4 linked regions of the Caenorhabditis elegans genome follow. The protein of the gene in region 3 interacts with the protein of the main gene of each other region in a pairwise test. Each region holds a gene or a part of one and is shown on either strand. Other genes may lie near its edges. The genes, in order: dnsn-1, klp-4, rps-6 and add-1.

Evidence for each region.
Region 1: the proteins of rps-6 (region 3) and dnsn-1 interact in a two-hybrid assay, tested with the Caenorhabditis elegans proteins (one large-scale study listed by BioGRID).
Region 2: the proteins of rps-6 (region 3) and klp-4 interact in a two-hybrid assay, tested with the Caenorhabditis elegans proteins (one large-scale study listed by BioGRID).
Region 4: the proteins of rps-6 (region 3) and add-1 interact in a two-hybrid assay, tested with the Caenorhabditis elegans proteins (one large-scale study listed by BioGRID).

The regions. Positions count from the first base shown.
Region 1 is NC_003280.10:405,634-412,756, reverse strand, and holds dnsn-1 (Downstream Neighbor of SoN homolog), read left to right. Parts: upstream 1-1,824; 5' UTR 1,825-1,837; coding exon 1,838-2,008; intron 2,009-2,052; coding exon 2,053-2,132; intron 2,133-2,175; coding exon 2,176-2,281; intron 2,282-2,336; coding exon 2,337-2,606; intron 2,607-2,700; exon of another isoform or gene 2,701-2,752; intron 2,753-3,314; coding exon 3,315-3,433; intron 3,434-3,481; coding exon 3,482-3,774; intron 3,775-4,353; exon of another isoform or gene 4,354-4,403; intron 4,404-4,726; coding exon 4,727-5,018; intron 5,019-5,962; coding exon 5,963-6,155; intron 6,156-6,206; coding exon 6,207-6,302; intron 6,303-6,359; coding exon 6,360-6,530; 3' UTR 6,531-6,616; downstream 6,617-7,123. Other genes in the region: C24H12.4 (RNA helicase), read right to left, coding at 594-787, 839-1,114, 1,162-1,273, 1,332-1,525.
Region 2 is NC_003284.9:3,172,670-3,180,694, reverse strand, and holds the start of klp-4 (Kinesin motor domain-containing protein), read left to right. Parts: upstream 1-1,993; 5' UTR 1,994-2,032; coding exon 2,033-2,099; intron 2,100-2,158; coding exon 2,159-2,231; intron 2,232-2,287; coding exon 2,288-2,522; intron 2,523-2,598; coding exon 2,599-2,708; intron 2,709-2,761; coding exon 2,762-2,849; intron 2,850-2,902; coding exon 2,903-3,150; intron 3,151-3,430; coding exon 3,431-4,001; intron 4,002-4,049; coding exon 4,050-4,149; intron 4,150-4,202; coding exon 4,203-4,561; intron 4,562-4,634; coding exon 4,635-4,849; intron 4,850-4,906; coding exon 4,907-5,227; intron 5,228-5,277; coding exon 5,278-5,461; intron 5,462-5,511; coding exon 5,512-5,811; intron 5,812-5,859; coding exon 5,860-6,512; intron 6,513-6,561; coding exon 6,562-6,844; intron 6,845-6,892; coding exon 6,893-7,066; intron 7,067-7,110; coding exon 7,111-7,281; intron 7,282-7,323; coding exon 7,324-7,491; intron 7,492-7,564; coding exon 7,565-7,625; intron 7,626-8,025.
Region 3 is NC_003279.8:13,950,338-13,953,706, forward strand, and holds rps-6 (Small ribosomal subunit protein eS6), read left to right. Parts: upstream 1-1,823; 5' UTR 1,824-1,840; coding exon 1,841-1,978; intron 1,979-2,150; coding exon 2,151-2,511; intron 2,512-2,566; coding exon 2,567-2,808; 3' UTR 2,809-2,857; downstream 2,858-3,369. Other genes in the region: usp-3 (Ubiquitin carboxyl-terminal hydrolase), read right to left, coding at 767-1,081, 1,161-1,291.
Region 4 is NC_003284.9:4,854,035-4,861,667, reverse strand, and holds add-1 (Adducin-related protein 1), read left to right. Parts: upstream 1-1,624; 5' UTR 1,625-1,631; coding exon 1,632-1,730; intron 1,731-1,966; coding exon 1,967-2,059; intron 2,060-2,132; coding exon 2,133-2,241; intron 2,242-2,563; coding exon 2,564-2,706; intron 2,707-2,825; exon of another isoform or gene 2,826-2,975; intron 2,976-3,101; coding exon 3,102-3,245; intron 3,246-3,293; coding exon 3,294-3,461; intron 3,462-3,807; coding exon 3,808-3,867; intron 3,868-3,924; coding exon 3,925-4,023; intron 4,024-4,327; coding exon 4,328-4,412; intron 4,413-4,467; coding exon 4,468-4,553; intron 4,554-4,614; coding exon 4,615-4,887; intron 4,888-5,431; coding exon 5,432-5,644; intron 5,645-5,693; coding exon 5,694-5,952; intron 5,953-6,246; coding exon 6,247-6,348; intron 6,349-6,456; coding exon 6,457-6,516; intron 6,517-6,612; coding exon 6,613-6,702; coding exon of another isoform or gene 6,703-6,776; intron 6,777-6,794; coding exon 6,795-6,838; intron 6,839-7,193; coding exon 7,194-7,265; and 4 more. UniProt on the Caenorhabditis elegans protein: Membrane-cytoskeleton-associated protein that promotes the assembly of the spectrin-actin network. Plays a role in time-dependent memmory loss and the retention of conditioned behavior over time.

The sequences.
Region 1 (7,123 bases), on a different chromosome or scaffold from region 3:
ACTATAAAAACTGCTAAAAAAGGCCGCAAAAATTGATTTTGGAGACTACAAACTACAATTTTCGATTTAGCAGACCAATATTAAAAAATTCCTGTTTTCAGCTTAAAATTTCGATTTTTGATTCGTTTTTTTTTGGAATACAATGCTAATTCACTCAAAAATTTAAATTTAAATCAATTTTCCCCGAAAGTCCCGATTTTTTCAGGATTTTATATGAAAATACGCACTTTTGGCCAATTTTCCACTAAAAATCGCAAAACACTTGAATTTTTCTAATTTCTATTTGAAAAATGTTCATTTTCCCGCTGAAAAATTTAAAAAATTCATCAATTTTCCAATTTTCAATGCGAAAATTAAAAATTTTGGGTCTGCTAGACTACAAACTACACATTTTCATTTAGCAGACCAATATTTAAAAAAACCAAAGTGGTTTTGCCATCGAATATTTCCTATTTCTCACTGGGAGCAAGTGAAAATTTGAATACTTTTTGATTTTTTTTAAAGAATAAATACGATTTTGACCCAAATTTCCAGGTCCTAGTGCTAAATCATGTCAATTTTTCGATTTTCCAGCTCAAAATCCGTCTACTAACATCATTTCCTCCTCATAACCAAAGGAGAGCAACAAATCCGCCTCGTCCATCACCAAATAGCTGACCAATGTGCAATATTCTGGTCTCAAAGAGCACATTCTGAGCAATTTTCCGGGTGTTGTGACAACCACGTGGCTTCTGTCCTCCAGCCAAACCGAGTTCTCCTCTTCATTGATATCACACAGATTGATAGCCTGAAAATACCAAAATTTTAGATTTTTTCCACTAAAATCCGCATATTTTACCTGCAAAAACGGCAAGGCCTGCGAAAGCTTCACGAAAAGCTTATAAATCTGTGTGATGAGCTCTTTTGTGGGTGCAATGATCACAGCAGATGGTCCAACTGATCCATCATTCGTCTTGGATTCGGCGATCAGCTTCTGCACAAGAGGAATCAGAAAAGCGCCGGTTTTTCCGGATCCAGTACGAGCTCTTCCCATAATATTCTTGTTTTCCAGTGCCAGAGAGATCACAGACTCTTGGACTTGATTTGCCTTTTCCCAGCCGAGTTCTCCGATGCTCTGCAAGAAAATTCTAATATTTTAAGTCTAAATTTGCAAAAAAAAACCTTCAGAATACGCTCATCCAGACCAAAATCCGCGAATGTCTTGTGCTCCGGCTCGAAATCCATCTCATCGACTTGAGGACCAACTAGGCTTTCCATAAGCTTCTGGCGTTTTCTGAAAAATTATTATAACACATTTTTTTCTTTTTCTGCAACCCAAAATATCGACTTACTCTGCCTGACTCTTCTTCATTCGGTGTTTTCTCTTTCTGCCCATTTTCTCCTCATTTTTGTCGCGCAACTCCACGGAAACCTCGATTTTCTTGCCGGCTTTCTGTTTTTTAGGTGCTTCTTTCACTTTTGGTGGCTCTTCTTCGGCGAATTTCACCGATTTTCGCTTCTTTTTGGTGACTTCGTCGGGTGCCATGATGAATTACCTGGAAAAAAGAGTGAAATATCGATTTTTCGCTATAAAATTTCAAAAAGAAACATCGAAAATCAATCAAAAACTTTAGAATTACAAGAAAAAACAATAAAATTATATTTTTTCGCAAAAATGGAGCCAAAAACGCGCCAACGATCAAGAAATGCGCCAGCAGTCTCCCTTTGCGCGCAAGCATTCGCGCTCTATTGAAAAAGCGCGAGAAGCTAAGAATTTAATAAATTTTTTAATTTTCAGACATTTTCAGTGATTTTTACGTATTTTCCTCATTAAATCTGTAATTTTCAGCCTATTAAAATGTCCGACGAGCACTATAATCCTCGAAATCGGCTCAAAACGCAAATAAAACGTCGATCAAGCTGCCGAAACATTCTCAACGCTGTGCCTCCACCGCCACCTACCGATTTTGAAGGCTTGGAGGGATTTACGGATAGTTGTCCGGCTCCGACAGCGAATAATCCGTTTAAAGTAGAGAAATGAACTTATTTTTATTTTAAAAAGTCGATTTTCAGGTCTCTTCCCCGCAAAAGAAGCGACAAAAACCCCAGGTGACCTTCTCACAAGACGATCCGTTTGCAGCGAGTATTTCGAGGTTTGAATTGGAAATTTGAGCAATCTTCTCTAATAATTTTAAGTTTCAGAAGCCCCGATCCACTTAAAACGCCCACCAAAGGAGTGAGAAGCTCCCCGCGGAAAAGAAAAAGTCCACAGAAGTTTGAGAGATTCCAGAGCTTTGATCCAGTGAGAAAATATAAAATTCTCGAGGTTTTTTTTAAACAAAAATTGAATTCTGCAGGCTCTTCTTCAAGAATTCCATCCGGTCGACTTCTCCGCGCTCCTTGCCACGTCGTCATCGGCTCAAAAACCAGCAGAACCAGCCCAGGAGTCTGCCGAGGATCTTCCAACTGATCTTCGGATCGGAAGCAAGATGAGAATCGTGTCAAAAGTCTCGTTTCCATGGATGAATACGAGAAAATCGACGGGAAATGTGATTGTCAAGTTTCAGACGAACGATCGATTCGATGGAATGCAATATTTTAATAAAACGTTTCTTAATGGCTATGAGGTGGGTCGAAATCTACTATTTTTGACTTTTCTGTGTAGAAAAATGGCCTTCGCAGCAAAAATTTTGGAGAAAAACGGTTTTTTCAAGCAAATGTTGGCTTGGGTCTGCTAAATCGAAATTTGTAGTTTGTAGTCTAGCAGACCCAATCTCTTCAAAACCACTTTGGTCTGCTAAATCAAAATGTGTAGTTTGTAGTCTAGCAGACCAAAAATTTTCAATTTTCGCATGGAAAATTGGAAAATTGATGAATTTTTCAATTTTTCAGCGGGAAAATGAACATTTTTCAAATAGAAATCAGAAAAATTCAAGTGTTTTGCGATTTTTAGTGGAAAATTTTGCAATTTTTGTGTTTTAAGACAAAAGTGCGTATTTTCATACAAAATCCTGAAAAAATCGGAATTTTCAGGGAAAATTTATCTGAAATCGCAAATTTTGAGCTAAAATCCATAAAATTGTGTAAAAATCGTCGAAAAACGAAAAAAAAAATCATTTAGGTCTGCTAAATCAAAATTTGTAGTTTGTAGTCTTCAAAATATATTTTTGTGGCTTTTTCAGCAGTTTTCATAGTATTTTTCAGTTGAAATCAAGTTTTTAATAATTTTTTACTTCAAAATTGAAAGAAAAAACCATTTTCAATGATATTTTTCTGACAAATTTGTAGTTTGTAGCCTAGCAGACCCTTTTTTTTTCAAAAAATTCAAATTTCAGGACCCGACAGTGCCTCTCCCAGTGTCTCCAATGTCAATTCTTGAAGCTGCCTCGCTTTTCTACCAGTTTCCAGTAATTCCAGGGCTCAAAATGTATCCAAGAATCACCGCAGAGCAAGAGTACGGTGGAGCACACTTGCAACACCTAAAATTCGAATTTTTTTGCAGAAACGTGTCCCGTGTCTCGCTGGCTCCACTGGTGACGAGCACAATGTTGGAACAATGGCAAGAGTGCTACGCGGAGCTCTACAGCTCGTATAAAAAGGGACAACGTGGCAGTTTTTACGTGGCGACTGCTGTTTGCAACGTGCTTTTTACGAAAATGCCGTTGTCGGGTGGTGGTGATGATGTGGCGGCAGATGACACGTCACAATCTTGCTCGCAGGCTTTTCGAGGGCAGAAGCTTGTCGCTGTGATCACTCATACGACGTCGGCGATCCGAGAGCATTTGAGAAGCCAGGGTAGAATTTTTGAGCAATTTTCAGATTGATTTTATGCTATAAAATTGAAAATTGTGGGTAAAAAATACTTTTTTCAAGCCGTACAAGGTCTTAAAGCACAAAAAGTGCAAATTTTTCAGCTTAAAATCGCAAAAACTTGAATTTTTCTTATTTCTATTCAAAAAATGTTCATTTTCCCGCTGAAAAATTGAAAAATTCATCAATTTTCATTGCAAAAATAGTAAATTTTGGGTCTGCTAAACTACAAACTACAACTTTTGATTTAGCAGACCCAAATTAAAAATGCCTGTTTTCAGTTTAAAATTTAGATTTTTTGATTCGTTTTTTTGGAATACAATTTTAATTCACTCAAAAATTCGAAATTAGATCAATTTTCCCCCAGAAATTCCGATTTTTTTCAGGATTTTATCTGAAAATACGCACTTTTGCCTTAAAATACAAAAATTGCATTTTTTTTTCCACTAAAAATCGCAAAAAACATGAATTTTTCTAATTTCTATTCGAAACATTTTCATTTTCCCGCTGAAAAATTGAAAAATTCATCAAGTTTCCTTTTTTTTCATTGCGAAAATGGAAAATGTTGGGTCTGCTAGACTACAAACTACAACTTTTGATTTAGCAGACCCAAATTAAAAAATGCCTTTTTAGCTTAAAATTTAGATTTTTTGGTTAATTCACTCAAAAATTTCAAAATTGGCTCAATTTTCCTCGAAAATTCCGATTTTGCAGGATTTTATACGAAATTACGCACTTTTTCACTTAAAATCCTACTGTAAAATGATATTTTTGAGGAAAAAAACTTTTTTTTCAAATTATAGTGTGCGGCAAACGTGCTCCATTGCGAATTTCAGCTCAAAAACTGTTTTTTTTGTCGATTTAAAAGCTGAAATAGGCAAAAAAGCTGAAACTCTATTAAATATTCATTTTTAAACTGAAATTTCAATTTTTGCAGGCGTCGACTTCGAGGCTCCAAAGCCCACATCGTCTCTGAAGCGTGTCAGCAGTTCACCACAACTCCATCATGATCAGTCAACACTGGATTGCCTTTTGGCTTCAGAATCCAAGGAGAACTCTCAAATGGGACCAACAACATTCGGTGGAATCGAAAATTCGGAAAATTCCGATGAAAGCCCGCTGAAAAAAGATCAAGACAGTGATGAGAACGAGAGTCCAATGAAGCTGGCGAACCAATGGTTGAATGAGATTGGGGTCTCACCGCGAACAGTGAAAAATACTGTTTCGAGGTAAAAATTTGCCATTATCCAGGCAAAAAAGCTTTTTTATTGAACTTTCTGGAAAAAAAACCCAAAAAATCATAGTTTTTGACAGTTTTTTCGTGCAAACCCCGTTTTTTCACGAAAGGTTACTGTAGCTGCGCTCAAAACTACAGTAGCCCCAAATTTTTGTACTTTAAAATTTGAAATATTTTGTGGAATTTGATTTTTTGCCTTAAAATTGCAAATTTTACGCTAAAAAGTTCAAATCTACTACTATTTTAAAATTAAAATTTTCCGAAAAACGTCGAAATTTTGATTTTCAAGATTTTTTCCATTAAAAAAGTCAATAGGTTACTGTACATACAAAAGGTTACTGTAGCTGCGTGGCAATAGCCCGGCGCTACAGTAACCCGAACTGTGTAATGTGACTCCTCCTAGGATTACTGTAGCTCCGCGATCTGCGCAAAGCTACAGTAATCCTATTTTTCCCTCATTGAAAATTAATTTTCTGTGACTTATGTGCTTCTATCCAATTTTGATGGTATGAATATCGGTATTCTCGGCTGAAACATGCAATAAATACCGTATTCCAACCAACAATTCGGTGCAATAGAGCACATTTGTCACCGGGGATGCGGAAGCTATGCCCAAATTTTCAATTTTCTGGGAAAATTGTAGAAAATAGCAATTTTCACCGTTTTTTTCCAAAATTTTGAAGTTTTTGTTTAAAAAAACACCGAAAATTGCTCTGAAAATGCCGTATAACTCCCATAAGGATTACTGTAGCTTCCGTAGCCTCTAAAAATGAATTTCTGTGACTTATGTGCTTCTATCCAAATTGATGGTATGAATATCGGTATTCTCGGCTGAAACATGCAATAAATACCGTATTCCAACCAACAATTCGGTGCAATAGAGCACATTTGTCACCGGGGATGCGGAAACTATGCCCAAATTTCCAATTTTTCCAGAGAACTCTCTTCCCAAGTGACTGATCGTGCCGGTTTCCAGTGTCTTGTAGTCCATGGCTCCAAGATTCATGCTCTATTCAACGCGCTGATGGATTCGGACGTTGTACACGAGAAAACGGGTCCCTACACGAAAATCCCGCCCACTCTAATCGCCACGTCACCATTTTTGTATGGGCAGTTGCTCAGCTTGACGGTAGCCAATTTTTCTGAATTAGAAATTCAAATTACAAGTCAATTTTTCCAGAAATCATCGAATATATTCGCAAAAGCCGGAACCAAGTGCACGGAATACGAGCTGAAGCTGGAAAATGGTCCAGTGCTCCCGCATTGTGCAAAAATGGTAAAAGTTTGCATTGGGGCGCGTTTGCAGCTTTTTAATTTCTGTATTTTCCTTCAGATGACCCAGTTCATCCGCTCTACGAACATGTGCTCGACGGAGGAGAAGCCGGTAACAATGCAAGTCATGGATCGACATACGAGTCAAGGAATGTCTGATTGGACGGAAACTGCCACCAACTGGAATACTGTGACAATTGCTGAGAATTGTGTGAAATGGACTAAGAATTGAGATTTTGAAGAATTAATTGAACATCCTGTGAAAAAAATTTTTCTAAGATTTTGATACAAGTTATTTTTATATGAATATTAACATTTAAATTTTGAACACGTATGTACTAGCAGCAAAAAATGGAACATCAATGTTTTTTGTTCGTCTACAGGGATCCGTCGGTAATCTATCATTCCATATTACGGGAACACAATATTCTGAGAATGCGTACTGCGCAACATATTTGACGCGCAAAACATCTCGTAGCGAAAACTACAGTAATTCTTTACACTGGTGTCGAGCTACTCAAATCATTATTAAATAATTAATTAAAATATTGAAATAGAGCACAATAATGACGAAAAAGTCGAGATCACCGTAAATCGACACAAGCGCTACAGTAGTCATTTAAAGAATTACTGTATATTTCGCTACGAGATATTTTGCGCGTCAAATATGCTGCGCAGTACGCATTCTTTGAATTTTGTGGTCTATATTGAGTTTAGCCAGGTTTGGGCGCGTTTTAAGAAAAAAGCTTTGGTCCAAAAAATTTTGAATTTATTTTCCAACATGTTTTATATGCATTACAAAAATGTTGCACCAGCCGTTTTTGA
Region 2 (8,025 bases), on a different chromosome or scaffold from region 3:
ATTTTCATTGTTTAAACAATATCCAGCTATGATTTCTATAAAAAATGTTTGGCCCAAAGTTCAAAGTCTAAAATTTAAAAAATAGCATTCAAAAAATAGTCTTGCTGCTTTTTTTAGACTTGCACTCCTACGAACCAATTGAAAATTAGTTTTGCAAGACTAATAGAGGAAATATGGCAATTCTGTATTTAGACTTTTTACCATTTCAAAATGTTGAATAGATTTTGACAAAATCCCCATTTTCCCTACACTGTTTTTAATTAATATTAAAGTTTTAATGAAACCCGGTAGCTATTTTTGGAACGTTTAGATTAACATTTCTTATTGCATGTTTCAAAGAATTACTTTTCTAATAAACACAATCGTGTAAACATTATACATCCCGATTTGGCAGTTCTTTCACACGTCTATTTACCAAGGGATCCTTCTCTTTGTGGATCAGATGATTTGTGACATCTCGCGAATTCCAATAAGATGACGCACGGCTACAAAATTCTTGATTAACAAAAACGCACATCGTGTTGATTAAAGGATTTCCGAATCTAGATACCTCTCTCTCGCTCTTTTTCTTTTGCGTCAATTTTTTTGAGCTGTCAAATCGTTTGTCCTCAAAACCCGAGCTCAAAAAAGATCAGCTCAATTTGTTTAAGTAGTGCACTTTTTTGATAGGATTGTTTTCCCGTTTTCTCAAGTGTTGCTTCCCATTCTCCGGCTGAGCAATTTTTGAAATTTTTTAGTGAGTGAAGTTTAAAAATCAAGCATCTAGATTTTGATGACGAAATAAAACGAATTTTTTACAGCCAAAAAAAAACGAAGGGTTCACATTGCAGCTTCCGGTTCCAGCTCATCTTTTGCTCTTGTTCTTTCGTTTCTTTTTATGGTGGAATGAGTTGAGCCGAGTTCAGAAAGAAGCGCGGAAAAACGGGAGACGCGCGCATCAGCATAGTAGATGTTCATCAATTGCAAATGAGAATGTTAATGCTCGGCCGGGTTCACTGGCGCGGGGTGCACACGCCAATGTATCATTCTGAATGGTTTCGTATCGTGCCCTTTTTTGACTAGGAATGTGTGGGGGAGAAGGATATGGGGATAGAGAACGGCGCCAGAGATAGACGGCTACCACCAGGACGACAAAGGTTAGAGTCAGACAGATGGAGCACGTTCCGAATATCATTTTTCACCGGCTCATTGTCCATTACGTCATGTTCCTGCAATTCCAACAAGCTTTTGGGACTCATAAAAAGTTTTTGATCAGTGTTTGCGCAAGGTCACCTATCCAATTTGGGTTGTAAATTTCCAATTTTTCGGCTGCTGCGCGAGATGTATCTCATGGTTTTATTAGGAAAATCCATCGGTTACCTCATCTCCTGAAACTGACGTGAAGAGCCAAACTTCTAAGCTTCACTCTCAGTTTCGTCTTTCTACTTTTTCCCCCTCTCACTTCCCGTTTTTGTTTATTGTACAAGAATTAGATAGTTGGGAACAAAGTGTCTTTTGAAAAGTGTCCGCTACATACATATGTCATGTACAAGAGATTCGCCTCGTGCCCCCCGTTTTTGGGGGCCCCCAGAAACTACTAATCCCTTTCCAACAGAAGCTCTTTTGGCATTGATGTGCTCTCACACCACACAAAAGCAAAGCACCCAATGAAATTGCACTCTGTCTCACTTTGCCAGCAGGGAAAAAAATAACTTTTGAAAATCAAGTTTGATTTCTTACTTAAATTCGGTTTTTTTAAGTTTATAAAATTTGAGAAACTTCCAATTAAAATCTCCGCTTCCAGTACTTTCTCAATTCACTGACGTTTTTCGTTTACTTTTCGTTTACCTACCCATCCGATTATGTTCGCCTTTCACCTTTCCTTGTATCATTGCGAGTGAAAAGTTTTCCAAAACTGATTGCCTCATAAATTTTTTGATTATTCTCCCTCACTCCGTCTTCGTTATTGACAATAACTTTATCGATTACCTGCTTTTTATCAATTGAGCGTGTTTTTCAGATGTTCTAAGAAATCTTCAGACTTGGTTGGAAAATGACAGCTCCAGATGAAGAAAGCGCTGTCAAAGTTGCTATTCGTGTACGCCCGTTTAACAAAAGAGGTAATATAATTTATTATTAAAAATGGTCATTGTGATATCAAAATTTCAAAATATTTCAGAACTCGACTTGAAAACAAAGTCTGTGGTTCGAATTCAAAAGGAACAATGTGTGCTTCATCATCCAATTGAAGAGTAAGTAGATTAATGAGAAAGCAAAGAAAAATTACCTGATATCTATTTTATTGTAGGAAAAACTCGAAAACCTTCACATTCGATCACTCATTTTGCTCCACTGACCCGCATAGTTATGACTTCGCAAGTCAAGAAACAGTGTCCTATCACCTTGGATCCGGTGTAGTGGAGAACGCATTTTCGGGGTACAATGCATGCATTTTCGCTTATGGACAGACTGGATCCGGAAAGTCTTACACAATGATGGGAACCCCTGATCAGCCGGGAATCATTCCTCGTGTTTGTAATGATGTGAGTTTTTTTGTTCGTTTTTTTTTCCAAAAATGCACTCCTAGTGAAATTGAAAGCATACCTGTTTTTTTTTCAGATATTCACGAGAATTCAAGAAACTAGCAATTCTTCCCTGTCGTTCAAAGTTGAGGTGTCTTACATGGAAATTTACAACGAAAGAGTTCGAGACTTGCTTGACCCAAAAAAGTAAGCCATTCGTTTCTCTCAAAAGCAAAAACATAAAACAAACGTCTTTGAAGATCAAGCAAAGCATTGAAAGTGCGTGAGCATAAAATACTTGGACCCATGGTTGATGGATTGTCGATTCTTGCAGTCAACTCTTTTGAGGTTTGCCGATGCTTGAAAGAGTTTTTTTTCATCCACTTGTTTATTTTTTCCAGCAAATTTCAAACCTGCTAGAAGAGGGAAACAAGTCAAGAACTGTCGCTGCAACTAACATGAATGCCGAAAGCTCAAGATCACATGCAGTTTTTAGTTTGATTGTAACACAAACTTTGCATGATTTGGAAAATGGGTTTAGTGGCGAGAAAGTTGCCAAAATTTCGTTGGTTGACTTGGCTGGAAGTGAGAGAGCTGGGAAAACGGGAGCAGTTGGAAAACGGCTCGAGGAAGGTGGAAACATTAACAAGTAGGTGAAACTATGGAATTTTATATACATTTTCTTGCGAAGTGGCTTAAAAAATAAGTAAAAAATTGGAGGAATTTAGTTTCTATTTTTCTCCGAAATGATCTTGAAAAAAAAATCGATTTTAAATTTTCAGCTGATGTTTTTTGTTAAAAAGTATGTTATTGATAATCTCAATTTCATATTGATTTTTCAAATTGAAGAAAAAACTTGAAGTCACTACCAACTTTCAACTTAACATTTAACAGGTATATGTATTTATTAATCAAAAGCTTGATTTCAGATCACTAACTACACTTGGTATGGTAATTTCTGCTTTAGCGGAAAGAAATTCCAAAAAAGACAAGTTCATCCCATATCGAGACTCTGTTTTAACCTGGCTGCTCAAGGACTCACTTGGAGGAAATTCAAGGACAGTTATGATTGCGACCCTTTCTCCAGCTGCCGATAACTATGAAGAAACCCTCTCCACACTGAGATATGCAGATCGTGCGAAGAAGATTGTCAACCACGCAATTATCAACGAGGATCCGAATGCAAGAGTTATTCGGGAACTTCGCGAAGAAGTGGAGACTTTACGAATGCAGATTACACAAACTAAAAAAGAGCACGCTGAAACTGAAGAGCTTCGTGAAAGGCTTGCAGAGAGTGAACGTCTTGTAGCTCAAATGAACAAGTCTTGGGAGGAACGTCTTAAAGAAACTGACACGTTGAATAAAGAACGACAGAAGGATCTGACGGAAATCGGAATTTCTATAGAGTCCAGTGGAATTAAAGTTGAGAAGGATAGGTTTTATCTGGTGAATATGAATGCCGATCCATCATTGAATGAGTTGCTAGTCTATTATATTAATGTGAGTTGAACATTGCGTTTTTTGTTTCAATAAAATTATATTTTCTAGGGATCAGCAATTATTGGAAACTCGGAGGAGCTAGAGACAAGTAGAGACTCTGGACTATCAATGACATGCAGTGATTCTTCGAGAAGAGATGATGACAAAGGTATTGTATTTTTTTTCAAATTTTTTGATCTACCATTTTTTTTCTCTTTTCAGAACGAACTAGTATTGTCCTCCGAGGTCTAGGAATCATGAGACGGCACGCAAAAATGACTGTTGAAGAGTATGGCGGGCGTCTACGCCTGTTTGTAGCCCCAATGTCTTCGGAATGCAGAATCTGTGTTAATGGAAAGCAGATAACTGAAAGGACGCTTCTTAGAAATGGGAATCGGCTGCTTGTGGGCATGAATCACTTCTTCAAAGTTAACTGCCCGAAAGTGATGGACATGGAACAATCCATTATGGAGGACAGCACCATGTTCGACTACAATGACGCTTGGCATGAGGTTAACGATGCGAACCCCATCAGTTCCGCCGTTGACCAATACATGGAGAGTGTTACACTCAAGCACCAGGTTTGCGAGATTTCTTTTTTCGTTGCAAAAATCTAATTCCTACGTAATTAAATTTTTATCGGTTTTTTTTCAGGAAGACAAAAAGGCAGCTCTTGAGCAACAATACGAAGCATTTGAGAAATACATTCAGTCATTGACTGCCGGCGGGTTTACCCCATCTACGCCAATGACTCCTGGTTTTTGTCTGCCTACTCCAATCACTACACCTACCGGACTACCCCCATTCCCTTTCCCAGCAAACCCAAAACAATCTGTGAAAAGCAAATTCTTCTATTGGGCACAGAGAAAGTGAGTTTTTAAATAAATGTCAAAATTTTGAATTTTCAAAAATATGAATAATTCCAGAGAAGAAATGTTCGCGGAGTCATTGAAAAGGCTGAAAGCAGATGTTATTCATGCAAATGCTCTTGTACGGGAAGCAAATATGATTTCCAAGGAGCTCAATAAAAAACCAAAGCGTCAAACCACATATGATGTGACACTGCAAATTCCAGCTTCAAACTTGAGACCGATTAAAATCAAAGCTGGGCAATTTGTTTGTGAGCCAGTGATAGTCGTTCGTAGAGAAGGAATGAGTGGAAGTCAATTCTGGACTGTTTCTCAGCTTGAGAGCCGTCTTGTTGACATGAGAGATACTTATAATGATATGCTAAATGGATTCACAAGGTTCGAGTTTATTCATTGATCGTTACGAATTCAATTTACATTTTTTCAAGAACCAGCGAGTCTTTGAACGGCACACCTCATGCATCACCAATGAAGATAGCCGGAATTCCAATGAATGAGTGCTCATCTCTAGTCATTGACCCATTCTTCGAAAGCCAAGAGCACCATAATTTAGTTGGTGTTGCAAATGTGTTTTTAGAAGTGTTGTTCCATGATCTCCGTCTCGATTATCAAGTAAATCAAATCGCGGGAAGATGTTGATTTTTTAATGTTCTCTATTTCAGGTCCCAATTATTTCGCAGCAAGGGGAAGTTGCTGGGCGTCTTCATGTGCAAATTTTTCGCGTGGTAACTCAGGAAGAGATGGATGAAACTTCCAATAATGGACCAGAGACACTTCTTGGCAAAACGATCACTTGTCGGGTACGAATCAAGCGCGCATCTGGTCTTCCGGAAAAACTATCAAACTTTGTGTTTTGTCAATATTCATTTTTCAACATTTCTGAACTACTTGTGGTTGCCCCAGCAAACGAAGCTGCTAATCATTCATCTTGTCCAACTACTGTGATTTTCGAACATCAAAGAGTGAGTTTGCATAACCTAATAACCATTGATCATTAAAGCAAATTGCAGGATTTCAATGTGATGGTCACGGAAGAATTTATGGAGTATGTTAGAGATGATGCGTTGTCTATTGAAGTATGGGGACACAGAATATGCGGACATCCTGAAGAGCGAATTTTGGACACTGATGAAAAATCCAAGTCTTTGCAAAACCGATGGATGGAAGTTACCAGGCGTTTAGAAACGTGGTCAGAGGTGCGAGAATTGAATGATAATGGAGATTGGACGAGTGTGGAAGTCCGACATGCAGATGACGTATCGACTGGCGGTATATACCAATTAAAGCAAGGTCAGCAGAGAAGATTGGTTGTGGGTGTGAATGTTGCTGCGCCTGATGGGTTGCCTATCAGCATTGATTGTATTACTTCTGTTAGCATTGGGGCGATTATGGCTGTAAAATCAACGAACAACTTGAAATCGATCGACAGCTACCAGGAAGAAGACTTGGATAAGATTAGAAAACAATGGTCACATGCATTAAAGTCACGACAGTATTATCTTCAACATCAACTTGACTCTCTTTCTGCCAAATCAGGAAAATCCGAGGCTGAGCTGGACCGTGAGCATTCTCTAATGGGACAATGGGTAGCATTGACTGAGGAAAGAACAGCCGTCGAATGTCCAACACCAAATTCGTGTATACCAGGAGCACCATGTGATTGGTATGTGACGCGATTGAGCTTAAACTGAATATATCTTGATAATTTGCAGGATTGCCCCTGAAGGAGTGGAACGACATATCCCAGTATTATTCTTAGACTTAAACTCCGACGATATGACCGGTGAAATGACAAGTGATGAGAATGTGCCGCGTGTTGCTGGCTTACACTCCATGCTTCCACTTGAGCCAGAGGGCAACTTGCTGATGGTTCCAATTCAGAAGTATGATGACAAAGATCATGTGGCAACATGTTCCTGGGATTCATCAGTTCATGATTGTCCGGCACTCAATGTTCCTACTAACAGCAATGATCGTGTGTACGCAATTGTCAAGGTATTAGTACCTAAAATAATATTCAAAAATAAAATAAAATATTTTCAGATTATGGTGAGACTATCACACCCATGTCCAATGCACATTGTGCTGAGAAAGAGAATATGCTTACAAATTTACAAAAAACCAAGCCTAACAGAAAAGTTTTTCAAGAAGATGCTGGGCACCGAGACTATTCATAGAACTTCTTTATACTATGATGTAGTTGCTCATATTCCGAAGGTAAAAAATGTAACCAAACAATTTTCTGAAACATATTTTTCCAGTCTTCGCAAGATATGGAAGACCGGTCTTCACTGGCAATGATGGCTGCGAAGGATACATCTCACGACGAGCAGGGCGGTGGCTCATCTCGAAGCTCCACTTCATCCACGGAATCACAACACCAGCAGCAGACCCTTAATTACATTGAAGCCTACACAAAAAGTATTCAGGCGGTATGTCCAGTCAACGGTTCTTCGAAAAATATAATATTTCAGGTCGAGTCAATGTTGAAACTGGATAGACTTCGCCAAGAAGTAGCTATTACCAATATGCTTACTAAGAAGGAAAGGCTGCAACGTATTCAAAATTTCGGACTACCAATGCATTCTTTGAGGATGAACAGAGCAGTCAGTTTGCCAAATGCAATTTCTAATGCTGGACAGGTAAGTTGGAAGTTTTAAATATTGCTATAGTTGATTTAAGAGCATCTTGAAAAAATTTCATTTTTTTTTTCAGATTAATGGAGTAGAAAAACGATCCGACACGCCAATGAGTATATCCTCCTCCAATTCAATGGGTATGTTCTTTTTTTTATTGATTTCTTTTTTTTTTTGAATTATTGACTCGCCGCTGGTTTTTGAATCGCCCGGAAACGCGTCGCTTCAACTTGGTTCTTTCTACTCACCTTTACAGATCATTTAACCCAGAAATGTGTTTTCATGAAAAAAAATACATACAACTAATGCTTCTCACTTCTAATTTTTCTTCGCTATCTATCCCCAAAAAGTGATATGAATTGCACCTTTGATTGCAGTTGGGAATCAAACGATCTCGATGAAAAATGCACTTTCTGCACTGCGGATTGTTTTTAAAAAGCATGCAGAGCTTCTCGAAATTCTGTTTCTTTTCAACAACTTGCTTTCTAGAGTGAGAAAATGTGAAACTAAGCATTATTCCAAAAACTATTCCGCAATCAT
Region 3 (3,369 bases):
TCGGATTTTTCGTGGGCTAAATGAATTTTTTGATGTTTTTTGTGCTGAAAAATCGGAAGTTTTGGGCTTTTTCATTGTGAAAACTGATTTTCTAAAATAAATTTAAAGTGTTAACGTTGAAAAATTCGGAATTTTTGGGCTGTTTAGGTGCAAAAACGGATTTTGAAGTTTTTTGTGCTGAAAGATCGGATTTTTTTGGCTTTTTAGGAGGAAAAATGGATTTTTGATGTTTTTTCCCCTGAAAAATCACAATTTAGGGGCTTTTTAGTGGGAAAAATGAATTTTATCGCAGAAATTGATGAGTTTCTGCCGAAAAATCGGAATTTTTCGGATTCTTAGGGCGAAATACGATTTTTTGATGTTTTTTCACCTGAAAATCGGAATTTTAGTGATTCTCGTGAGGAAAATAGGGTTCTGTTCAAGTTTTTGCGGAAAAAATGATTTCCCAATGGAAAATTAAAGTTTCTTCGATGAAAATTAGGATTTTCATTTTTTTTTTTAAGAAAAATAAATTTTTATGAGAAAACGAACGTTTTTGACTGAAAAATCAAAATTTTCAGAAATTCCAGAGAGAAAAATGGAATTTCTGAGGAAAATTGGCGTTTTTTTCACTGAAAATCGCAATTTATCGGACTTTTCATGGGAAATACGATTTTTACGAGAACTGTAACGTTTTTCAGTGGAAAATTCGATTTCTAGCAGGGTTTATCGATAAAATATCGGTTTTTAACCAATTTTTAGTCCATTTTCCTCGAAAAATACGCACTGAAAAGGCTGTGCCGGTATAGTCGGCCCGTCGCCTCCCTCCATAACGTCTTCCCGGTCGAAAAGGAGCTTCAGCGATTTTAGAACTCCATATAAAGATGGCTCAAAGTCCAGTGACACTTCATCATCACAGGAATAGCAGTAAAGCTCGAAAGAAATGCAATCAATGACGACTGGGTGGCTGGTTTCTTCAAAATGATGCAAAGCGTGGCCCGAGTCGTTTCTTCCGCACAGAATTCGTCCGCAAGTGAGGCACATCAGCGATTTATTGCAATTATCGCATTCGTCGCAGAAGGTTTTAATTATTTCCTGGTTTCTGGAAGAAAAACGAGTTTTTAAAGCTATTTTTAGCTTTTTTTAGCCATTTTCTAGCCAAATTTCTCAAAAAAACTCACTTCACCACCTTCCCACGATTCGAATTTCCCTCCAAGAACAAATTATTGTCCTCCATGTCCTGTTTCTTGCGGAACATCCCCTTGGGCACACGCTCCACACAATCTTCCGCCTTTATATGGGTGCAAAGCATCTGAAAAAATTCGAAAATCAGTCAATTTGAGTGTGAGAGCAAAGTTTTGGCACTTAAAACGCGGATAAAAAATCGATAATCAAGAAAAACAGCAAATTTTCGGCGGAAATCGAAGAAAAACCGAAAATCGAGTCGGAAAATCGGAAAAGTTTGGAAAAAAATAAAATCCATCGGACGAGATAGTGTGGGAAAGGTGGGGTGCAGCAGACGACGAGGCGGATGGGGGATGGGTCTCGCCACGAAGGGCGTGCGCCTTTAAACTGGAATTGTCGTTGGCCTAAAAAGTTTTCGCTCCTTTTTTCATTTTTCCCTCGAATTTTTGGGTGAATTTCTCATTTTTAGGCGAACTTTTCGGTTTTTTTTTCGAATTTTCAAAATTTTAAATGTTTTCCTGATAGTTTTCCTCCACATTTCGCAGGATATTTGCTTGGAAAATCAAATTTATTAGTTTTAGGCCCATGTTTTCGTTTTTCGCTTCAGTTTCTCCTTTTCTCACCCCGTTAACTCATTTCCAATGTTTTTCTTCTTGCAGGTAATAATATTTGAGCGATGAGACTTAACTTCGCCTACCCAGCCACCGGGCTCCAAAAGTCGTTCGAGGTCGATGAGGAGAAGAAGCTTCGCCTCTTCTTCGAGAAGCGCATGTCCCAGGAGGTCGCCATCGATGCTCTCGGTGACGAGTGGAAGGTTAGCGAGTCACCCAAAAACACAGAAACGAAGTGATGTTTCTGTGTCAAATCCTCATTGTTTCACGTGCTTTTTCTTCGCTGAAATGGCTGTGACTAGACATACATTGAGAGTCCCAGTTTTTGTTTTTGAACCGATTCTCGGCTCTTTCAAACGAGTTGCTTTTTTCCAGGGATATGTCGTCAGAATCGGAGGAGGAAACGACAAGCAGGGATTCCCAATGAAGCAAGGAATTCTCACCAACGGACGTGTTCGTCTTCTCTTGAAGAAGGGACAATCCTGCTACCGTGAGCGCAAGAACGGAGAGCGCAAGAGAAAGTCCGTCCGTGGATGCATCGTCGACGCCAACATGTCCGCTCTTTCCCTCGTCATCGTGAAGAAGGGAGATGGAGAGATCGAAGGACTCACCGACTCCGTTCTCCCACGCAAGCTCGGACCAAAGAGAGCCTCCAAGATCCGCAAGCTCTTCAACTTGACCAAGCACGACGATGTCACCAAATACGTCATCACCCACGACAAGACCTTCCCAGATGGTGAGTTTCTTCAATATTCTCTTTAAATTTAGTTTTTAACTGTCTAAATTTCCAGGAGTCACCAAGACCATCGCACCAAAGATCCAGCGTCTCATCACCCCAGCTCGTATCGCCAGAAAGAAGTACCTTCTCCGCCAGAAGCGCAACCAGAAGATCAAGATGCGCGATGACGCCGCTGCCTACCACAAGCTCCTCGCCAAGTACTCCAAGGAAGAGCACGACGCCAAGATCGCCCGCAGACGCTCTTCGGCTTCCCATCACTCCGAGTCCGAGGTCAAGAAGACCAGCAAGAAGTAAATACTGCTGCTCGTTATTGTTTCCTAATGAAATTGTTGTTAAACTTAAATCTTTTTTTTTTGTTGTTCACTCCATTCGTCTCACCAATTATATTTGCACCCATTTGTCGTTGTTAATTTTTTTGAATGCTTACTCCGAGTCCTGGCACGCCACTCAGGGTACTTGGTCGATCCGTTCTTCGCCTGCGGGGCGGATAGCAGGCTTCGCAGCTTTCAAAGCTTTTCGGTTCTTTGCTTGGCTGATAGTTGTATGACTCAACCGAAGGCGTCTCTCGTGTGACCTTTTTATAAAGAGTCGTTCCATCTAAACGGGAGTCGTCCATTTTTGTGTTAATTCTGCTAAGATAAAGCGCGCTCCTGAAATTATCTTCCAAAGTGCTGTGATTCTTTTTCAAGGATACGGTAGAAGTCTTGCTATGAGATATCTTCCGCCACAAATATAGGAATTCTCATGTTTTAATTGTTTCCCAGCAAGACATTGGCCAGTTTTCAACTGAAAATTCATTTTTCGATTAATTCCGGGTGTTGAATTCAAAAATCTGATAGAACTACTGTAAATTTA
Region 4 (7,633 bases), on a different chromosome or scaffold from region 3:
GGGCGAGAGATACATGTTTTGTTTTCCTGTTTTCTCCACTTGTTCTTTTTATCAGATCTATTTAATCAAAAAGGTTAAAACAAATAGTTTGTTTTACTATCGTCACCATAGGTGTGTGTGCGTGTGTGTTTGATATAAGATTTAATCGCAATTCGGCATGTTTCTTCTATTGTTGCCGCATTGGTTAAACACCAGTTTGGGGTTTTTTTGGAAGAGTATTTCAAGTTTCTGAAAGTTAAAGCATTTCAAATTTCAGACTAAGAATTTTACAGTAAGTGGTATTATAAATAATTGCATTGACCGCAAATTATTGAAAAAGCTTAGAATTTTTAAATAGAAATATTGTTTCAGCATTTCGTAGTAGTGCTGCAATATTATCTTATCGGAATAATTAATCTGAAAAGTTCAAACCGATTTTTAAATTTTGACAAATTTATTTTGAGTTATAAAACTCTGTTTGCGGAAAAATGGTTACTTTCCCAAAAAGTAATGAAATCTCACAAAACTAATTGGCCTAGCTCAATTCGAAAATTTCCACTTCCATTTTGCTTCACCGTTCTTTTTCATTTGAGCCACCCTACTTGTGCACCACTCGGACAAGTGCATTCTATTTATTCCATTTTCTTTTCATTGTGATTAACCATCCTGAATAAAATGTCTTGGGTTTTCTGCTCGGCGCCTCTTTCTATCTTTCTCCAAAATAGAGTACATGTAGACTTGAGTTTCTTTTCGGTCTTCCTTTTCTTCCCTCATTCCTTAAATTAGATTTGACATAAGAAGAACTTTATCGCAACAGGCGGATACCTTAAGGTTCTCATTCTTGTTTGCCGTTTATCGCTTCCATCGCAGACAAAAGTAGTGTGTTGGAGAATTTGACTGACGCAAAAACCACAAACATTTTAGGGTCAAATTCACATTTCCAATTAATATTTTTCAATATTACCGTTTGCCATGCTTCATAGGTAATTAGATGTATACACTTTCTCATGGCAAGTGTGCCACCCGTAGAGCAAATGTTATATAACGCAGGAGGTATGCAATAACCAAATTTTGTATACAAATCAGATGGCTCGCCATCGAATAGTCTCACGCTGAATGAACTATTTTTCGATCAATTCATGCTTTTTAGTACAGCTTTGTGTAAGCTGTGTGCTAGTAGAAATGTCAAATTATTTTCATGAAATTGTATACATCCGATTTAGCATATCTTAAAAAATCCTTATTTGTAAATACAGTTTCCGATAACTTGTGAACCCTTTTTTACTTAATTTGATATTTCAATCTTTAGTAAGTTCAACTGTTAACACCTTTATAACAGTTTTTCATCTTGAAAAAATGTCTAAAAATTTGACAAACAGAAATTTAACGTTAAAAGACCAATAATGAAACAGGAAAACAAGACAATATCAAAAGTAGGCCATCCATTTGCGCGGGAATTTAAACATAATTCAGAAAATCATCGCACATTTAGAATAATTTTATTATTTTTATTTTTAAATTCATATTTGTACACTACATCCCATTTTCATATTTGCAAAGTAATGTTTACTTTTCTAAACTTTGTGATTTTTTCTTGAATTTCAATATTTCAATCTCATTTTCAATTTTCTTAAACTTCAATAAAGTTTCAGATGATTGGAAGAAAAGAGAAGGAACGGGAACGTCCATACTATCGAGACCCAGATGACCCTGAATATATCAAAGATTTGCAAAGACCGGCAGTAATCAAAGTAAGTGCTGCTCCAAGTTTTTCCGTAAAAAAAACTAGAGCACATCAAGTTTTCCCTCCTCAGCTCTCTTTTTTCTCTTTTTCCAAGAACTTCAATTAATGAAACCTGCCATTATTAGCGCAGTGTCATTTTTTGAAAAGACTTGGGAAATTGAATGGAAAATGCAAGAGAAGAAGAGAAAGGAGTGCTCGCTCTTTAATCAGCTTAAAAGATGGATGAGAAATGCTCTATTTTAGGAGGATTTGTCAGAGATGGAGAGACGGAAAAGAGTGCAACAGATACTTGAATCAAAATCATTCTGCCACGAGCTAGAAGAAGTTATTCGTCAGGTTTGTAATTTGTCTTTTTTCTCGTTATTTTGTTTCAATAAATGTAATTTTGTACAAAACATTTTACATCTAGGAGTGTGATACAGCACGTACGGATCCGGATCACTTGCAAGTACTCCAGAAACTTTCGGACCTCACAGTTCCACAAGGAAACATGTCGTTTGGCAACCTTCACACATATGGTTTGTATTATATTTTGGAATAATGTATTCGAAAAACGGATAACTTGGTTTTTTTTCCTTATTTTGACAAAAGAAACTCGATTTATGCTTATTCACACGAGGAGTTACAACATGTTATAATGCAGAAAACTTTCCTATACGAATTTTAGCTATGCTGAAACCTTGTGACACAAAAGTAGATATACTTTTTTTGTTTTTCTAGTAAAGTATTATAATATCAAAAATCTAAGATTCCCATGCATAAACAAAATTGCAATATTTTTACAAACTTGAACTTCTGTAAGTTGACAATTTCCGATAAATCATGTAATCTATGTTTCAGGTGGAAACACCATTGCAATTGCTGATCTTCGTGGAAACGAGAAGTATTCAAAAGCGGAACGTATCCAGAGAAACAAATTGGCATGCTTGTTTCGACTAGCTGACCTGTTCCAGTGGTCACAAGGGATTCATAACGAAATCTCGGTAGGGTGCTTGAAGTATTGACTTTTTAAAATTACCACAAAAATTTAAAACTTGAACCTGTGGTTTAAAGTAAAATTTTGCAATCAACCAAATTTATTTTACAATATAGCAAATACAACGCGTGTAGAAATTGTATGAATTTCAACTTTATTAAAATACGAAACTTCTGAAACAGCTGCCAAAATGTAAGGATTAATCAGCTTTAAATTGGGATTTTTTTTGTTCAGTGTTGTGTTCCGGTTACACACCACTTTATTTTCCGACGTGAGTTAACTAGCAGGTCCATTAACGACGTGTTTAAAAAAATGTATTAAAATTATATTTCTATGAAACTTCTACAAAAGTAAAAACACCATATTTACCTTTCTAGAAGAATTTTAACAAAATTGATTTAGTATCGAACCAACGATGAGGATAACACTTTTCTGATGAATCCATTTGGTCTTCTCTACCATGAAATCACTGCTGCGACCATCGTGAAGATAGATGAAAATGGAAAAATTCTGGATTGCGGGACACTGAAAGCTGGAGTCAACCAGGTACCTTTAAAATCAAAAACGACTTATTTTTGCACTCATCAAGTTAAGCCTGCGTTTCTTCTTCATTCTGCAATTTACAAAGCTCACCCAATGGTCAGATGCATTCTTCATATGCACACGGCAATTGTGGCGGCTGTGGCTAGTATGAAATGTGGTTTATTGCCTCTATGTAAGGAAGCAATGGTGCTTGGGCCAGTTGGATATCACGATTATCAGGTTAGCAAAAATATTGAATTTGAAGAAAAACAATCACTTGTGTGGTTATTTTCATAATCTGAAAAATTTAAGTGTGAACGAGAGAAAATTGAAAATCTGAAGGTTAAAGAAACTAGAAGCAAAATCGGCAACCGTTTTTTAAAATTATTTTTTGATGATTTTTTTCCAGTCAAAGTTTTGGTACTTTGCCAAAATTTGAAAAAGTTTATCATGTAAATCGGTAGTTTTAGTACTTAAAGTAGATATAGAAAAGTTCATCGTCGACCTTCGAACGGTTTAAATTTTCATTAACCTTTCACATGACTTTAACTATAAAATCAAAAAAATTGTTGAATTTTCTTTTCAGGACATTGGTGATGATGATATTCAATTTGACGAAATTATTGCAAATCTTGGAGACAAAAACGTGCGTTAGCTTTACTTTGAACTGCTTTTCTATCCGCTTTTCTATGCTTCGTTTCAGGTCCTTTTCCTCCGCAATCAAGGATTCCTTGTTGTCGGTGACACTATCGAGCATGCCACTTTTCTAGCCAACAACACTGTGATAGCATGCGAAACTCAGGTTTTTGAAGTTTCTCATATTTAAAAATTACACGCTGCCCTGCCGCCAGTAGTTCAATTCTATCGCCAAATGCTTATTTTTTATGAAATGACGATGGGATTAAAACATTTAAGGTTCTGCTGATCAGAGGAGAAGGATGTTTTGTTGTTGGAAATTCCGTTGAAGAGACATCTATAATTATGCGCAACTTAGTCACTGCTTGTGACCATCAGGTTTAGAAAAGTTATAATAAATGAGAAATATTATTTCATATCAAATACAAAATACATAATCAAAGTTTCCAAAAACAAAATATTTTTGTAAGGTACGTGCCGCAAGGGCTGGACTTGACAACCTCATCATTCCGGAAGAGAAAGCAATACAAAGAGCGTTCAGAAATTCTCGAAATAGTAAGATTCTGCAATATATATTGAAATTTAAAATACATCTATAATGCTTTTGTAGCGAATTCCCTGAAACGAAATGGAACAGTTGATTGGAGAGTCGGAGAATTAGAATGGGAGTCTTGGATGAGAGTGTTGGATCATGCGGTGAGCAGAATTTTTTCGCCCTGCTCACAGTTGTTTCACTAAAAATTGCTACTAATTATAGAATTTTCAAACCGGGCACGTCTATCGTCAACCACAACTGCGGCCCAAATCTGCAATGTCTACGTCAATGGTGAACAACAATGATGTTGCTGTTCCGCCAACTACATCAGCTTATGGACAAATTGATGAAACAAACTTGGAAAGTGTATCTGCACATCGTCTGGCTTTACTGCGCAAGGAGCAGGAGCGGGTTCGTTGGATGAACAGTCCAAATGCATATCAGAAGGTTGAATTTTTGGAGTATGGAGCAGATAACCCAAAGAAGATAACTAAAGTAAGAACTGTTTTCAACTTTTGCAGTACGAAAATAAAATTTGTACATGAACTTCTGATGGTTTGTGTCATTATGTTTACACAGTTATTTTCATATAAATGTACAAAAAAATTTGAAGAAACATTAAATTAAAAACTATAAACAGAGATTTGAAAACCCAAATAGCTATGATATGGGTGGGCCCTACTAGTGAATTTTTGTTTTGGATAATTTCTATGTCACTAATTTTTGGATTGTTGTCATTATGCACATTATGAATACATGTTATGCTAACGCAATAAAAAAATGTATTTTTCAATATTGGAGTAGTGTCAGAAAATGTTCAAAATTGCTCCAATACCAACTATCGATTCAGGCTGTGCCTAATTGTGTTTTGAAAATTTTGATCCGCAATAAAAATATGTATTAAAGTTTTTTGAGAAGTCTCATTATAAAATTCGGTCGCATTTGGTTATTGAGTTCAAATTAAACATCTATGATAAATCATTGGAGAAAAAATTAATTTTAAAGTGTTTTAAATTTACACAAGTTCAAATCATTTCAGTGGGTTCATGACGTCAACGTTCCATCCGCGAGTGGAACCCCTGTCAAAATCAGCAGTGTTCATCAATTCAGTCCTGCGTCTTCAAATCCTAAAGAATTTAAAGAAAAACAAAAAGCTATCAAAGAAAACAACAGACTGGGAACTCTTTCTGCTGGACCACAAAGCCAGATTTTGGACAGTGTGACATATGAAGACATTGCACTATTGATTAAAGTGAAATATCCCGTCTTGAAAATTCATTTATTATTTTGTAATCTTTCAGCCTGATAATGACGGAACAGTCGGACAGAGCTCGACCGCTGACCGAGCAATACTTATCGGAACTGCCAGCAAGGGAATCATTGATAGGCAATTTCAGCATCATGCTCAGGTGTACCACCAAATCTATGCGCCGAATCCATTCTCTGTAGAAACTGATGCAGACATCAAGAAATATGTAGACATGGTGAAGGCCAAGAACTCGCAAAGCGCTCCTGTCTCAGCGAGAAGTGGTTACTCTCAATACGATGAGGTTGAAGCTGGTAAGGTAGCTGAAACAAAAAAACAGCAATTTTTAAAGTCGTTTTTGAAAACGAAAACTGAAATTCCTTTATTTAAAACGTAATAAAATAAAATAAACACTGCAAAAAATCCATGTTGTGTTGCGAGTTTTTAACTGAAAATCTGGGGTTCAAAACACTTGTGGGATGCCACTTGTTTTGAGTATGTTCTTTTTGGCTCCACTTACAAAATATATTTTTGAAAATATATTGCTGACAAAGGTCTAAAAATAGCTTCTCTAGTTGTAACCAGCCGATTTTCAAAAATTATTCCAGATACAGTTTCCTTAATGCAAGGAGTACGAGAACATAAACTTTCTCAAGCGGCTCTGAGCGCATCTGACGACGGCCTGAATGCCGGAATCTCCCCGAATAATGGTAATTTTTATGTGGTTGCTCCTTCACATTTTATCGATGCGCCTGTTTTCTATCGCTTTGTTTTCCAGTGTTTTAAATTATTTGAATGCCTATTTTCCATATTTCCAGTCCGAACTTCCGAAGAAAGCGTCAATACGTCGTACATGAGCCAGTCAGTTGTGTTCGATTGTAGGTTTATTTTCCTTATTCTTTCTGTGTAGCATGTGTGTGGTGGCTTCAAAGCTTTTTATAACTTTCACAGATTTTCTAACTCTTTGTGTACAGGCGATCACCCTTCTCCGATGTCAATTTCGACAGAGTACCCTGAAAAAGTTAAAATGACGCGATTTTCGTCGACTCAAGGAACAAGTGAAGGTATATTTGTAACTACGTGGTGTCTATTTGTGTTTTCACTTTTTTTTCGAGCGCATCAGCTAACTAATCAATAACTGAGTTGTAACATTTAGGCAATACAACGTCTCGATCGTGCACTACAGCGTCTGAAGAAGAAGTAAGAATTTTTGGAAGCAAATAGTTTTTCAAATGTTTCAAACTTAAAAAAGAATGAGGTTTCTTGCCATAAATAACAGAAAAACTATAAAGTAATATATTAAATTTTTAATAATGTTTTTTTTCAAATTAGAAGTTTTTTTTTGATATTTTAACAATTTCTGAAAAATTTTAAAAAAATTCAATGAAAAAATTAAACTTTTTACAGTTGTATTCTCTATATATAAACTGTTTTCTGTTATTTTGGGCAAAACCCCACTGACTCTACTCTACCTTCAAATAAGATTGAAATATTTGCTAACTTCTCTGCTTTTGGGACTAATCAAGCACTTATTTTACACCGTTTTTTATTTCAGAAGCCTACAAAAGATGAGAAAAAGAAGAAAAAGAAAGGATTTTTGTCATTTATGCGAAAAAAGGACAAATGAAAAATGAGAGTTTTGCTCTCACCTTGCTCTCACCAACACGTTCACATCACTTAACTCTAACACTTTTCGATAACTTTTTCTATGTTTTCTTTTCAATTTTCAGATCCGGATATACTACGCCCAATTTACCGTCAAGAAACATATGTCTAGTCTCTGGACTTTTCTTTCTTTCCCGTGAACTTTCAATTCCGGTTATGGATAATAGCAACACTCTGTGCTTTGTCTTTTGTTTTTCGAATATTTTTAAAATGTCATTTTGTACGCATATTTTTTTTATATTATGTATTTGCATTTCCATCAAGTTTTTTATACTTTCATCTATAAATAATTATATTATATTACAAAAAAAAGCCAGGACAGAGAAGAAT